Linked DNA regions of Tamandua tetradactyla. The protein of the gene in region 1 purifies or fractionates together with the protein of each later gene. This does not show direct contact. Links are inferred from orthologs where the notes say so. Each region holds a gene or a part of one and is shown on either strand. Other genes may lie near its edges.

What was found.
Region 2: the proteins of MED13 (region 1) and CDK19 purify together in Homo sapiens (affinity purification with mass spectrometry; 6 studies listed by BioGRID and IntAct, counting the BioPlex papers as one, with this or other methods). This does not show direct contact. The link is inferred for Tamandua tetradactyla from reciprocal best matches to the Homo sapiens genes MED13 and CDK19.

The regions. Positions count from the first base shown.
Region 1 is NC_135332.1:41,327,129-41,335,483, forward strand, and holds the start of MED13 (mediator of RNA polymerase II transcription subunit 13), read left to right. Parts: upstream 1-4,750; 5' UTR 4,751-4,831; coding exon 4,832-4,897; intron 4,898-6,737; coding exon 6,738-6,972; intron 6,973-8,355. UniProt on the Homo sapiens protein: Component of the Mediator complex, a coactivator involved in the regulated transcription of nearly all RNA polymerase II-dependent genes.
Region 2 is NC_135331.1:169,435,345-169,443,971, reverse strand, and holds the start of CDK19 (cyclin-dependent kinase 19), read left to right. Parts: upstream 1-4,744; 5' UTR 4,745-4,942; coding exon 4,943-5,070; intron 5,071-8,627.

The DNA.
Region 1 (8,355 bases):
TGCACAAGAGTAACCTCCAAAGTAGCCTCTCAGCTCTATTTGAACTCTCTCTGCCACTTATACCTTATTTGTTACAGTTCTTTTCCCCCTTTTGGTCAGGATGGAATTGTTAACCACAGTGCCAGGGCCAGGCTCATCCCTCCCACGCCACCGGGGAGACTTTCACCCCTGGATGTCATGTCCCACGCAATGGGGAGGGCAATGATTTCACTGGCAGTGTTGGGCTTAGAGAGAGTGAGGTCACATCTGAAAAACAAAAGAGATCCTCCAGAATTAACCCTCAGGCATACCTATATGTAGGCTAAGCTTCTCGGCTACATACATAAGCTTCACAGGGCAAGTCAAGATCAAGGACTTGGCCTACCAATTTAGATATCCCTAATGTTTGACATAGTATCAGGGGTTTCCCCAGTGGTAAAGTTTAATAGTTCCATATTTTTTCTCTCATGGGTCTGCTTATTTTTATATTCAACAAAATAGTGACTGTGTGTTCACTAAATAAAATGTTTTGTAATTCCTCAGCTTTTTTTTTCTATTGAATTAGGTACAATATTACATGATTAACATGACCTTAAGAGAATATCGTCTCCAGGCTCAAGACCACTCACTCCATGGTTTAATTGGTCTTTAGCTTTCAGCTTTTGACTTGAGACTTGCACTATTTTGTATAGTAGCCTCTAGTCACAGGGCATTTGAAATGTGGCTAGGCTAAATTGAAATGTGCTGTAAGTGTAAAATATACGTGAATTTTGAAGGTTTGGTAGCCCCTCTCCCTAAAAAAAAGAATGCAAACTATCTCAATTTTTTTTTATATTGATCACATGTGAAGTGATTTTATTACTGATCTATTGGGTTAAATAAATGATAGTAATTAAAATTAATTTCACCTATTTCATTTACCTTTCTAGTGTGGCTACTGAAAAAGTTAAAATTACTTAAGTAGCTGTTATCATATTTCTCTTGGACAGCATTGCTCTGGAACCTGGGATTTTTCAGAATCAGGTAGGAAGCATTAGTTCTAAGAGCAGATATTGCCCTTTGCATGGACTTTTTCAGACCTCAGGTGATGCAACTCTGTCACGCTTCCTGCAGGCCAGGCGATAGTTTGCAAGCCCCTGCTTCCACTGTGCCATTCAGAAAGGAGTCACTTAAAGGCTGAAAGATAAAGAACAGTTTTAAATGTAGATCACTGAGCAAATCCACATCTCAATAGGTGTAGAAGACAGTAGGTGATTATCAACCTAAAGTGACTGCTAAAATTCACCTTAAAATTCCTGATTGGCTCCCCTATTTTATTTGGAGATTATCCCTTTTAGTCTTCACAACACTAACATTTAGATGTTATTATTACATCTACTTTTTGCAGATGGATTAATTGAAGCCAAAGAGCTAATAAGCATGATATAGAATTTGACCCTAGGTGGTCCAAATGTCAAAGTGTTATATCTAGCAACATTCTTAGCTTCTTATATATCCTGGGCCTTGTTCATATATGACCTGACACATACTAGATTGTCAATAAATATGTGTAGTAAAAATATATACATAAACATATGACCTCAATCATCTAGTAAAAATGTGCATGGGAAAAAGTCAGAAAGGAAATACATCAAAATGTTAATACATGTCTAATTATGAATGGTGACATGGGCATTTTTTGGTAATGGACACTTGTGTTCTCATCTTTACACTTTTCTATACTTTTCACACTTTTGACAATGTACATGTATTGTTTTTATTTATTTTAATTACTCCTTAAATCACATGAATTGTCATGTTAATAGAATCTTGATGGTTACTGATATGCTCGCTGTGTGCTGCTGTTATTCTCTTCTCCTCTTCCCCAGGATGTGCCCATTCCCCTTAGCATGGGGGTCCCTCTCCACTACTTCATTTCTCCCTTCTTGCTCTCTCCTGTTCCTTTCCATGATCCTTCCTCATATTTTTTCCTCTGGGTCTTCCTCCTTCCTTGTCTCTCCCTTCATTTTGAGAAGATTGACGCTCAAATGAAAGGTCAATCAAACGTTACCTCCTACCAGGTAGGTTTCAGGCAAATTCTTCCTCCTTTAGGGTTCTAGAGGAAGATACTCAAAGTTGGGAATAGGGGCAATGGAGAGGGAAACTTCTAAGAAATAGATAAATTTTGGCTAAAATAACATGAGAGAAAACCTATTTTAAACTGATAAAAGCAGTGGGAACAAAGGTCTGTGGATTCTTTCTGGAAAGAGACTAGAGGAGAGATGAACAGAAGGCCCCTCACCTTATTTGGTCTGGGGATTGCTGGCTCCTGGTGTTGATATTCAGTGAGGAAGGATCTGACCTCAGTTGATTTGAGCTCCTGGATTGAATTAGTCCTGGTTGTGTAATTGGCTTTGATATGTGACCTTTAGATTTGAATTGGGTTTAATAAGATTTAACTGCTTCAAGGGGCTTTATAAGAATTCGTTTTATCCTTCAAATCTGAGTTCAAATGCTACCTGCTTTATGACACCTTCTCAGACTTTGGTGCTCCTCCTCCAGCGCTCCTGTTGTGCCATAGTTGATACATACCTCCTTCAAGCAATTATTCTCATTGTATTTTATATTATTTTCTAAGAAATGTTTCCTTTATTGCCTCTTTTCAGGAGTCTTGAGGGACAGGCAGGTATAGTATTCAGATTTGTATCCCGGGCTTAGCACAGGTCAGGAAGATACTCAATTGAGCCAGCAGGTGCCCAATGACAATTTAAAAACTGTATTAGTAGCTAACATTTAGTAAGTGCTAAGGCAAGCACTAAAATTTCCTTGTTTCATTCACCAACCATTTCAGAAGGGAAGTACTTTTATTATTCCCATTGTACAACGAGAAAACTGAGAATAAGAGAAATTAAGCAAGGTCAATTTAATAAGTGGCAGAACATTTTTTACAGGTTTTTAACTCCCAGATATGGGCTTTAACCACTATGAATGAACAAATGGGTGGATGAAGGAATGTTTTTAATTCCCTTGAGGAAGAAGGGGCATGGAAGAGTACACCATTTATTTTAGAGACAATTATGACTTAAATTAGAGTTAGTTCTAAGTCTACTGACGTTTCTAACTTCTGAATCATCTCTTTTTCTTTTCTCTCTTGTAACCCTCTATTTAAAACTCAAACTCTCAGGTAAAATGTTTTGAACACCTACATTGAAGTGTAATTGTGCGTTCTATGAGAAAGGGAACTAACATTTTATTTGGTTTCCACGTCTTACTTTTCATTCATTCGTGAATTTACAGATGTCAAGCACCAACTGTGTGCTAGAAAACTTTTTAGGTACCAAGGATGCAGCAGTAAACAAAAAGTCCCGGATCTCACATAGACTGCACTCTAGTGTATAGTCATATACACTGGTTCGGTTATTCCTTCCAAAAGCCGCATGAGGTAATGATGACAGCAATAGTAGCTAACTCTTAACAAGCTTGTCTGTACCCAGCACTGCCGATGTGCATTACATGTATTTAATCATCACAACAATTCTATGAGATAGAGGCGATATTTCCCCCATTTTACAGATGAGAAAATTGAGACACAAAGAGGTAAGCGACTTGCTCAAGGTTCAGTGCAGTATAGATCTAATTTCCAAGCCAGTAACCACAAAGCTTTATTGTTCCGCGTATGTTTCTTCCTTAACATCACACGACTTTTAGCTTGCTGAGTTCTGTCTCCATCCAGATTGTCCTGATTCCCAAGCCCAGGGGTTTCCTCTGCACCCCAGCGGCCTCCTGGAATAAATGAGAACGCCTTGGAATTTTTGCAACACTTTCTCTTCCAAAGAATTCAAACTGATTTCCACGTAATTCTCATAGATTTGTGATGTGAGTCTTCCTATACTGTATATTCCACTGCAGGAAGAAAGATTGGGCCTGGGACCCGGATCATTTTACACTGGCTGGGGCACCCAGCAGATGGCGCTATCTTAGTAGCCACCAGCTGGCTGCCCTGTCCCCCGGGCTCACTGCTTCCCCCGAAAGCGTCCCGGCCCTCCCTTACTCCCTTCTCTCTCCCCCTCCCCACGGAGCCCAGGCCCACGTGACCTCAAGACGGCCAATGGGCGAGCAGAGAGGGCGAGCTGGTCCCTGTGGCCGCCATTAAAGCGAAGGGAAAACCCGTGAATTCGGATTAAAGGGGGAAAAAACATCGTCCGCTGGGTCCACAAAATGGGGGAGACTACGGCGTCCAGGCAGTGAGGCCGCAGGAGAGCAGATGTTAGGCCGGCTCAGCCGAGGGAGGACACGAAGACACAGCCAGAGAATGGTGTGAGCCCGCAGACGCCGCCACCACCTCCGCCACTGAGGAGACTCTGGGTTTAAGGACATCGCCGCTGCCGGGCCGGGGGCCTGAGCTTCTCTCCTGGTTCTCGCCTTCCCCACCCCTCTGTGACCGCCTCCCCGCCAGGGAGAACCTTCCAGGGCTCGGGCTCTGCGGTCTTGGACCTGATTTTAATTATTTATTGTGTAATTTATTTTTCTTGTGGAAGGGGCACACATCCCCTCTGTCCCCCAGAGAGGGACGAACGTCCGCGGGTTCCGCGGCGGCCGCAGCCCGGCCGGCGGGGTGAGTGCGCCGCGGCCCTCCCGCCTCCGGACCTCGGCCCGGGAGGGCTGGGTGCCGGCCGGGCGGCGGGGGCTGCTCGTGGCGGCGGGGGGGTTGGTGGGGAGGGCGGGCGGCCCGGCGGCCTCCTCTTCCACCGCCCCCCCCAACCACCACCCCCCCCCCCGCCCTCCCCGGTGTCTGTGTTTCTCTCTCTGGTCGGAGGCGGCGGTAATGGCGGATGGTGGGTTGTGGCGCCGGCGGCGGCTGCTGTGAGGGACGATGAGTTCCTCCTTCGTGCCGAACGGGGCCAGCCTGGAAGATTGTCACTGTAACCTCTTCTCCCTGGTGAGTGCCCGGGCCGCGAAGAGCGGGGCGGTGGGGGAGGGGCCGCGAGGTGCGCCCTTGGGCCGTGGGGGAGGGGGTCCGGGTCTGATCCAGATGCCCGAGTCCCCGGCGTAGGCCCAGTCGAGCCGGCGCCGTGGCGAAGCCCCGCACCCAACCCGGGGAGACGGCGTTGGCTCAGTCACAGTCCCGGGCTCTTTTAGGAGTGTCAGGTTTTATTTCTTGTCTTGTTTCGGAGTCTTCTATTTTTCTGCACCATAGTCTGTCTTTTAACTTGAGTCTCCTTATTTGCCAGGAAGCTAACATTTCCCTCAGTGGTTTTTTGCCAAACTGTTGCTTTTCTTCCTATCGATCCTGTTATCCCTTCTTCCAGTTTTCATTATTGCTTGGTCTTTCACCGCCTTTATTCCTCACATTGGTAATTCTGTTTTCCCCCTAATAAACAGGACCCCAGAATTTGGGCATGAAAAGCTCGTCTTGGCTTTACGTTTTTTATTATGTGTCACACTATCACTCATTGAGTGAGTTCAGATCTTTGTGTAAAGACCAGTAGGTGCCATTTCATATGTTTTCTTTTTGAACTTTGAAAACAGTTTGCCATTTTGACAATTTCTAGCCATATTGCCTTTATTAGAATATTATGTTTGTGTGAGCGTGAAGGGGACTAACGGAGGAGGTGTGGTTTTGAACTAAACGTTTCTATATTTGCCTGTTTTGCTTGCGTTTTTAGAATATTTTGAGCCGGCTGCTCCTTGTTTTATTAGAAAGAAAGTCTGGGGAAGCTGGACGTTGAGAATGACAATTCTGTAGGTTGGTCCATGTCTGGAAACATCCAACAGTTAAGACTTTCAAAAGTACCAACTGTTGCAAATGTCTAACCCAGAATTGGACAATAGCTTAGTTTCATCAGTGACTTAAAGTTTGAGTGACTTTCTTTTTTCATTTTATTCCTGCACTGTGAGAAATATTAAGAGTATATGATAGGTAAGTGAGTTGAGTGGGCGGAGCACAACTAGTTTAAATTGCCAGTCATGTATCAGCAGTTTCATTTTTGGCACCTTATGCTTTGCACCTTTAAGTCAAATTGAACAATTATTGAATTCTCTCTGGATAAACGGAGCTCTTTATTGTCTTTCCCCCTTGCAAAGTAAGTTGGTTTTCTTGTAGTGTCCAGTAATCAGCATCTCTTCAGTTGTAAAAAGGCAAACATGTTAGGTTTTAAATTTCTATCATCTCCAACTCAGTCTATTTTTGGTACTTTTAGGATCGGGTTCTTTGAAGATAGACTAGCACCAATCTGACAGTTCTTTTTGAGCAGCTATTTGACTTTTCCTAAACGGGTGTGTGAAGAATTAACAAGAATTTTTTCAGGAAACATTCATATGTCTTTTCATTAGAGTCATGACTTCTGTAAACGTGGAAAGAATCTTTAAGAAGTAATTTTCAGTTAAAGGTTTGGCCCTACAGGAAAAAATCTGATTGATTATTATAGACTTAGGACAGAGAAGAAGTGTTTTCTCTGGAGCAGTGTTAAAGTACATGTTTATATTTAATATTTAATATTGTTTCTTTTATTTCTACTTGTGACATTTATTGACTTGTTACTCAGTTACTTGAGTTATTTTTTAATTGGTTTTATCCTTTTCATTAAATTCTTGGTTGTTGAATTATCAGAATTATAAAACCTCTCTTTTTTTGTCCTTTTAAGCCACTTTCTAGCCACTTAAGCATATTGCTATGAAAATTTGCTATGTCTTAATGAAACTAAGGAACTTCTGTAGTGATTACTTTTGACTTTGAGTGAATGTACACTAATTTAAAAATCGCATTTTTCTCCCTCCAGGCTGACTTGACAGGAATTAAATGGAAAAGATATGTATGGCAAGGTCCAACTTCTGCCCCTATTCTGTTTCCGGTGACAGAGGAAGACCCCATTTTGAGCAGTTTTAGTCGTTGCCTTAAGGCAGATGTACTTGGTGTCTGGCGGCGAGATCAAAGACCTGGAAGAAGAGAATTGTGGATATTTTGGTGGGGTGAAGATCCTAATTTTGCTGATCTTATTCACCATGACTTATCAGGTGAAAGCAACTTATTTCCAACTAATGACGTAACAATGTTGCATAATTTTTCTGAAATAACATTGGTATTACAAATTAAGATTAAAATTTTAAAAAGTTTTATTTATTTTTGTGTGTGTGGAACACTTAAGTATGAAGCCAGATAAAAGTTCAGCTTCATGTTTTATTTCACTGTGGTTATTTTATTGACGTTATCCATATATATTATGGCAGGTTTTAAGCCTTGAATGACTTTTTTCCTTCTACCACCCTGTTCCCTTCTGAATTTCTCACAGGCATGTAGGGCCCAGGGAAAAGCCATATTGTATTAACCTAAGAAAAATGAAATGGTGGAGCGTAAAGTTCCTAACAAAGTCATGTAAGACTTTTGAAGCCAAGTTAACTCACCATTAAATCAATTCTGCCACTGTTGTCTTCTGCATGAATATGTGGATAATTGTAGGAGTATGTAGATATGCTGTGTTGTAATTTACTCATGTTTTTCAAGACATATAGTTATTTTGTAACTGTTATTTGTTACTTCATTTTTATTTTTTTACATATGAAGGTATATGTTAATTTTGTTATTCTTGGAAAGTGATTATTTTGAGATACTGTTACCTCAAGGACTATCATTAATGAGATGAGTGTCACTTTGTTTAACTTTTATAGGACATGGGGTCATAATCCAAAAGTTTATACAGAAATAATTTAATGTGAGCAAGTCATTGTGGTTACTTCCTTCTTATTCTCTAGACTTTTAGGACCAAATGTTACTTTTAGAAAGAGAAACTAGCTTTTCAAGTAATTACTGAAGTTTGTCTTTATCTTAGATTATAAGAGTCAGTGTTAACTAAGTATTTTTGCTGATAGTAATATAAATAGTTGTGTGCAACAGAGTATCAGAGGCTTTAGCAAGATGGTTTGATATTGATTCTTGACTGTTAAATTTATGAATTTTAGGTAGTTTAAAAGGAAGCAATTCTTATTTGAAATTGAGTACTCTGAAGTTGATGTTGTTACCATTTGACCTAAAGGGCCTATTTTCTCTTTAGATGAAATGTAATCTAAGTGTCCTTATTTGCAACAAGTACATAGTGAGTGTTGTGGCTAAATGTTTGTATGCTTTGATAGTTGCTTTTTACCTTCTAAAGAACACACTCTTCAGTGTTAATCCTTATTTCTTGAGAGTGACTGCAATTAGATTATGATGAAACTTTGCAAATATATTCCCCGCTGGAGAGTCTAGGCCTGTTTTATATATGTAAAATGATGTATGTAAGTGTTTATGTGTTTGTGTGTGTATATATATATGTGTGTGTGTGTGTATGTATATATGATTTATATGCATGTCAAGATATAAAGTTCCTTAGTGGCGTCAGCAAGATACTTTCTGATAGTCAT
Region 2 (8,627 bases), on another chromosome or scaffold:
CAGATGTGGTAGATTGAATTATGGACCCCAACAGAAACAAGTTCTTTATCTTAATACATATTCCTGTGGCTATGAACCCATTTATAAATAGGACCTGTAAAAAATGTTAGTTTTAGTTAAGATGTGGCCCAAATGAATTAGGGTGGGGCTTAATCCATTTTCATAGAGTCCTTTTAAAGCAGAAGAAAAGAGACAAGGAGAAGCTGGAAGACAGTGGCAACCAGGCACAAAGAGATCGAGGACATCACCATGCGATGGGCAGGTGGGGGGCGGGGCAGGGATGCAAGCCAAGGAACCCCAAGGATTGCAAAAAGCTAAGACCAGAACACTACAGACTTTGGAGATGAAGCCTGGCCTTGCTGACACCTTGATTTGGGACTTCTAGTGTCTGAAACTAAGAGAAAAGAAATTCCAATGTCCCTTGTTTAAGCCAATTCATTGTGTGGTATTTATCACAGCAGCTGGGCAAATTTAGACCGCAGGAGAATAAATGTAGTATAAATTCCTAGATGGAATTACAGGGTCTTAGCACACATACATTTTTAATTTTGATAGATGTTGCTAAAATCAAAGACTTATACATATTGATATATACATACATTTAGTGATGTACACTTTCACTGACAACACAGGAAAGTATCCATTTCCCCATATTCTTGATAACAAAGAGTGTTATCAAACTTTTTGAGTTTGTAATTAAGCTTTTTATAATCCGTATTTGATTTTTTTTCCTACCTACACATTTATGACTTTCCATTTACCCCAAGAATATATTCAGTAAGTCCTAGCTGTGCAGTTTACTAGTTGTCTGTTTGTTCACATATAAAATTGGAAAAACAGTAGAACACATCTTATAGGGATATTTTGAACATATTTTATAGGGATATTTTCACATTTAAATGATATAATGAATGCAAAAATCCCATGTTTACATAGAGCAAGCAACTGAAAGATCTCCATGCTCCACCATCATACACTGATGACTTCCAAAGCCCTACACATTTAGGCTTGATCTCTGATTTACAGGTAAAACTATTCCCCTGCTTAACTGTTACTTCTATCTTGATGCCAAGCAGGCACTTCAAAGTCACGATGTACGAAACCAAACTCATCATCTTTCTCTCAGAAATTCCTCCTACTCCTTTCCAAAGGTAAAATCTGATTACTGAATTAAAAATCCTAGAAGTTATCTTGGATTCTTCCATGTTTTTTTAACCCCACATTTAATTACCTACCAAGTCTACTGAATTTTATTCCTACATAATCCTGGTATCTGCCTTTTTTTTCATATTTTATGGTTCAGACTTTGTATTCAATCAGCACTAACTGTGGTGGCCCAGGGCCCAGCCCCCCTCCTAAACAGCCCTAATACACCTGCTTTAGGAGAGAACAAAGGTCAAGAAAGTAAACAATCTCCCTGGAGGGGGAGGAATGTAACCACAGATGTAAAAACAGTATTGATTGTATCTGAGTCTTAAACACTAAACTTAGTAAAACATCAGCTCTTAGGCCCCTTCAATGATTATTCTAGAGACTCAATGGCCTCATACTACATGGAATGTCTTTGTTCTAAAATCATATATTACTCTTTGTGTGTGTGTGTGTATGAACCCACACACACACACCCTATTCCTTGTGGAGTGCTATTTCTTCAAACCAGCCACCACTGAGACCCTCTCCTGTTTTTAAATCCCAATAAATCTACATATATGTCTGTGCCTGGCATGTTTTTCAGTCTTGCATCAGCACCAGCCTGTGCTCTGTGTGACTCAGTCTGGGCCCAAACACTAATGTAATAACTTTCTTCTTACCTTCCTTCAGTTTGTCTGGAACAGTGTTGTCAGAAAGATCTTCTGAATACAAAAGACTGATTTACATTACTCCTTAGCTCAAATGTCTTTAATACCTCCCATATTGCCTATGAAATCTTACACCTCTGCTTGCTAAATCTACCTTGTCATAACTTGACTTCTAATCATCTATCTGTCCAGTCTTCTCTTCCTTGACTTCTTTTTTTTTATTTTAACATAAATTAACTCATTTATTACAGACTAGAGATGTTTCAAATTGTTGAGCTTCCAATGTCTTTCATCTCCGCCAGTCCTCTCACGGTGACTCAAGCACCTCCGGTGACTGTTTTCAAGCAAGAACCACACTGAAAGCTCCTCACAGCTCTTCTGTTTATTTTGGTTTTACCACAGAAGAAACATGTGCGCTTAGCGTGCTAGCTGATTTCAACTTTCTTCACCATTTTCCTGAGGGAGGGGCCATCCGCGTCCAGCATGTACCTACCATTCCAACCAGCTTGGTGCATTTAGCCATGTTGAGGCAAACCAACTCCAAGCCCAGAGAATCCCATCTCTCTTCCTATCCACCTCATTTTCCTGCCTTGGTCTGTTTTATTTCAACTTTTTGCTTATCTTAGAAGATATGCTGTCTCATAATATATGTATTGCTGCTCTTTCTGAAATAATTCCCCTGCTTCCTACTCCCTCATTTGTCTGCCAGGCAAAGCCCTACCCAAACTTTAAATTTTAGCTCAAAACTACCTCCTTTGTGACACCTACCCCGACGCACCTAGATTTAAGAACTCCTATTACTGTTTGTACCCACGGTTTATTTATTATTATTTTTAAATTTTGAAATACTTTCCAACTTACAGAGCAGTTACAAAAATAATATGCACCCCATACAGAGAAACCCAATATACTTCTACAACTCATACCAAGATGTAAAATTTTGCAACATTTACTATATTATTAAATTTATCTATCTCTCTAACTATCAACCTACCTACACACCTACCTATTCATTCTCTGTACACTTCAGTGTAGGTTGTATTCTCATGTTCCCCCAACATTTAATATGACTATGTACATTTCCCAAGAACAAAGGTATTCATTATGTAACTAGCTTAAGTGCAAAAACCAAGTTCAAGAAATTTAACATTGATATAAATCTTAGTCTATATTCTACATTTTTTATATGTCCCATTAATGTCCCTTAGGGCCTTTTCTCCTTCCTTGCTAGGTCCCATCCTGGATCATGTACTGCATTTGTCAGTCTCTTTAGTTGCACTTTCTTCTCTTTTAATTGTGGGTATATATATAAATATATTATATATATATAAAACATAAACTTTTCCATCGCAACCACTCCCACCCACACCATTTAATGAACTTAATCACATTCACAATATTGTGATCCACGCACCACTTTTCATTACTCGAACTTTTCCATTTTCTCAAACAAAAACCCTACATCCATTAAGCATTAATCCCCATACCCCCTGAAACAGCTTTTTAATGCTTTTATGTTACTTCAAAAGATTTTAGTTCCCAGTCAGGAAAAGAACAGTTTTCATCTGGTATCTCCAGCACTGATTACAGTGCCAGGCAATAAGAGAAACTCAGATACTACTTGATTGCAAATATCATCAAGAGCTGAAGAAGTTTCCTAGGGAGGAGCTGTTGTAAATAAACGATCCTGTTTCCTCCCTCTAGTTTTCCAGGCTTCTTTTAAAACTTAGTAGGCAGGACTCACTCTTCGCTTTCTTTACCACTTGAGTTAGCATTGACTATTCCTTCCTTTGGGTTCCCACTGAATGCGGTACCTGAATCCTATCCTAGCACCTATCACGTTTATGTTCATCTGTATGCCAAACATACACGATTTCATGGACGTAGTAATGAAATAAATCATAGTTCACACCGATTAAAGAGACATCCTTGAACTTTCTAGGACACCCTCATCACTTTGCATACACCATAAAACCCCCTTTTCTATACAACCAAAACGATTGTTATTTAAAACGCTGCATCCTTCAGGCACTACGGGAATCGCAGATGTTGGGGAAGGTGGGTGATGCGAGGAGGGGACCGACTACAGCGCCTAGAATAGGGTGATTGGCTACTGGGGCTTAGAAGTTATATCTTCTCCTCAAACCAAGGCAACAACTAGGAAACCGCTGTGAATTCCGCATTTGAAATACGGTTTTTGCATTGTAAAGAAAAAAAGATTAGCCTATCAGGAAGAACTCAGCACAACGAATTTCCAATCACGAGCGGGAAAGAAGCCAAAGACTGGGGATACCCAGGCACCAACAAGGACGTTATTCTCTAGTCTCCGCCAATGAGCGGCCGGACGGTGGCGGGGCAACAGGCGGACCAAATGCCGTAGCAAAAACAATCTGCTGTACAACTGTTCCAACCACACTACTCGTCTCCCAAACCATCGGAGCAAAGTTCTGAGCAAGGCACTTGTTAAATACTTTCCACTCTTCTACTCGCCCGGGGACAGTCATAGTGGAGTATGACACTTCCACCAGAACAAGGGCTATCTTGAGGTCAGTACCCATAGGACCGCGGTGAAATAATACACCGCAACTTTCAGCTCTCCACCTTCACAGGAACTGGGAGTGCACGGCTACCTGAGGGGGTGGGGCGGTCCCAGTGCGCAGGCGTGCGTGCCTTGTTGGGGGCGAGGCTGTGAAAGCCCAAGACAGCATGGGAATTGTATTTCTTTCGCGGGACAAGCCTCCGTCGCTCCTGAGGCCTTCGGGACTGCATTTCCCAGGAGTCTTCGCGGCCTCGGGGGGCGGGCTGGTTTGTTAATGAGCTCGAGAAAGCCGTGGCGCGGCCCACCAGGTTCCAAAACAAGGAAATGAAGGGGGGAGGCGGGACTGGGGCTGCCTGCGGGAGCCGCCGCCGCCGCGGAGGAGGAGGAGGAGGAGGAGGAGGGGGTGGAGGAGGTGGCTGCCGCGGCCGCCGAGGAACCCCTTGCTGAAGGCGGACCGTGGAGTGGCGGGCGGCGCGCGCGCGCGCGCCCGAGAGGCGGCTGTTGGAGAAGTGGAGCGGCGGTCGCGGGGGGAGGAGGAGGAGAGGAGGAGGGACTGAGCGGCGGCGGCCCCCGCGTCCCGGTGCCTCTATGGGGGAAACAGACAATGGATTATGATTTCAAGGCGAAGCTGGCGGCGGAGCGGGAGCGGGTGGAGGATTTGTTTGAGTACGAAGGGTGCAAAGTGGGACGCGGCACCTACGGGCACGTCTACAAGGCGAGGCGGAAAGATGGGTAAGAGCAGGGGCGGGGGGAGTAGGCTCGCTCGGGTCCTCGCCCTGCCCGCGACCCGGCGGGATAGGTGGGTGGGAGCCCTGTCGGGCTGTGCCGCGGGGCGCGGCGGAGGTGGTCGCCGGGCCGCGTCCCGGAGCGGACTCTGAGGGAGGCTTCCTCTGCGCGCCTTCCCGCGAGGCCCCGTCGCGCCCCTCGAGCTCCGGCGGCGCACTCCTGTCGGGGGCCGTCGGTGCGGTACCGGAGGGCGCTCTCCGCGCGTGCCTGGAGCCGCGGCGGACTCGAGTTAGAACCTCGGTCGGAGGTGGAGTTTGTGGGGTCTGGTCTCCTGGGGAGACGCGGAGGGCGGGGAGAGCTCCGCCAAGGAGTTGCCGCTCCGGCCCTGGGTTGGTGACGGTCGTTGTTGAACTTCCAATCGGCTGAGCCCCTCCCGGGGGCGGCGGTTTGAAACCTCGTAGCGGAGCCGGCCGGGCGGCCGAGCGCCGGGGTCCCCGCCAGCCTCCGGGGTCTGACCCGTCGGCATCGCCACCTCCAGACACGACCTCCGCCCCGGGGGCCAGCCTGCCCGAGTTGAGCCTTCAGCACAGCCCTTTCTGACCCAGTCGTGTACCCGGTGACTTCTTGACCCCTCCTCGCCCGCCTCAGATTTCGCATTCTCAAGCATTCAGAGTTCCGCACGTTCCCTCGAATGTGGGACCTCCCTAGAGACTAACCCGATTTTGTGCGCCAGAATTTCAGAGTTGGTCCAGGTTCTCTGGTACCCCCGCTCCCCCCCCCTCCATTCTCCCCCACTTTGGGTGCTCTTCTGTCCTCCACTCTATCCTCTGCCAGGTGACTGCGAGCTGGAGCTTACCGGGCACCTAGAGTAACGAGAAAGAAACACGGGGCGACAGAGTTGGGCCTAAACCTTTGTTTTCTTGGAAGTTTAGGGAGAACTGTAGAACCCCCTAGGAATGTTCCCTTAGGAGATGAGCTGAGTTATCAGTTGACATACGTACATCCTGAGGGCAGACGAGCTCTTACTGCAGGACAGGTGGAACCAAGTCCTTGGCTGCGAAATGTAGGTTTAAACCAGTTGTTATCCTATGTCCAATCCTTGCAGGAATTCCCCTCCCCCAGGTTAGGGAGCCAAGAAAGATCTGTCTGGCCCCCTTATTCTCTACATTCGGTCATACTGTAGGAAGGAGAGTTTTAAAGAATTTCTGAATAAAAACATTTCTGAATAAACTGATTACAAGCCGCTTTGACATTAGTAGATTTGTAGTGTTGTTTATCGTTCTGTGCATTCTGTAGCAATTTGATATGGTTGATTTATGAATGCTAGGACCAAAGTAGGAAGAGTGTGTGTGTGTGTGTGTGTGTGTGTATGTATGTACGTATGTTCCTGCGTGTGTGCACACGATCGTGCTATTGAACATAACTTTATAAAGGGTGTTATCATAAAGTGTTGGGAGGCGTTTGCACTCCTTACCCCGTCTAGATTGATTATTGGTGTCAGGAATTATGAGACTTGACACTTGAGAAAGTGGTTTCTGTGAAAGTATGTTGGAAAATACAAAGCACTATACAAATGTAATGGACTATTATTTTTGCAGATATCTTTTTTCTCATGTCAGAGGCCCTATACTACTCAGTTATTTGTAAACTTTTCTCAATTCTTTTAATCACCAGGTAGTCTTGAATGAATATCATGGAATATGATATTCATTTTATTTTTTTTTAATTTAGTTTTGTTTTTTGAATATCCACTCGTTACACTGTTATTTTTGTAGGAGTCATATATATTTGGGGAAAGCACATCAAGTTTTCTTATTTGGACATTGATGTTACAAAATAAATCAAAAGGTGGTTCTTTTCACACATGCTTTGTAGTATATATTGTCTAGAATTTTATAATGTATTTTAATTTTTTGTTAGCTTCTTTTTATCAAACTTTTCAGAAAAATTAAAATTTTTAAAATTTTAATTCAGAGTTGTATCTGTATAGCACAGACTTACAACAAAAAACCCAGATAATTTAATTCCCGCCTCTGTTTGTCCTTTTTGAATATTTTTCCTTTAATAAAGTCCTTGATTCAAATACACTTCCTTCTTGAGTGAAATTTATTTGATTAGAAATAATAAAGTTGCTTTAAGAGATTAACAAGGTTTCATCACAGCAGATTAGTTTATGTATCTTCAAAACAATATGCTTTTATTTTTTTTCTAACTAGGATTTAGAAGCATTAGCTTAAATCACTATATTGCATTTTAGAGAAACCATACATTTTTTTCCTGGATCTAGAATGTGGTTGAGAGTTGAGGCATTACAGTAAACACATCTCTTGTGGGCTCATAGGACGTTATTTTTTTATTTTATTAGTTTTATGATTTCAGCTATTTGAAAGAACAGAAAGTTTTTAGTGATGGCTCTGAACTGATGCAGAATTCCTGAGTAAAGGATTTTACACCCTGATCATGATGTTTCCAGATTTTATTTTGGTTGACTCAGAAAAATGTATAATGCTATTTTAGGAAACAAGAGAAATCACATGGTGTTGTTAAAGAGAAATTATTCTGTTGTATATAATATATAGTTAAAAAATTGTTCAGGTCTGTAGACGAATCATTGGAAGAAGTAACTTAATAGAAAATATCATTAGAAGAGCCTCTGCTTAAAATTTGATACTATAGTTTACAAAATCTTAAAATAGTTTTTCTCTTGAAATGTGGCTTTAATTTAGGCCATATAAATTATGCTATACAAATTTATAACCTAGATCTCTGTCTAGGGTTTTCACCTTTAATACAAATGTTATTTGTTCCACCCCCATTTATTCCCACCCCCACTTTTCTTTTTTGAAAAGAGTCTTTTGATCCAAATGTCCTGTTTTAAAAATCAGACTTAAAAATTACTCTTGAAGAGAAACAATTTTAGAATATTTCTAGAGGTTTTTTAGTATGAACAAAAGTTTGTAAACATTTTTCTTTTAACATTGGTAAGAAAAGGCACATGTTAACAATTAATGGTTTCAAATCTCAAATCCCTGTTTCTCAAGTTGGAAGTTCTTTTTGTTTGGATTATTACAGGAATATTGTTTAAAAAGTTCTTTCATCAATACATTTCAGACAAATGTGATTCCAATAGGGTAGTGGTATGTCTGAAAAGTTATACCCAACAGTGGCTGTTGTTCAATTTAGCAGATACTCATTTAGTCCTTTAAATTACTCCAGAAAAAGAATTGCTCCTTATTGGATTTGTGTTTTTGAAAGATACTTAGTAACTGAAAGTGAAATGGCTGACAGAGACATCTTACAGAGTTTCAGTCTTGCCTGAGGGTTTCAGATGAGTAGTTGTGATTGTATAGCTTAATATATGTCATGACATTTTCATGAATAAATCTAGTAAGTACATGTAAGTGCACATAGATAAATAATAGGTACAATATTATCATCCAGTAGTTGATGGATTTTCACATTTGATTGGTAGCTAAAATATTGTTATATTTGCAATTTTTTTGGAGACCTCCAGAAGATTAAAGATGTATCAGTATCATCAGCCCTGTTTTAGGACTTTCAAG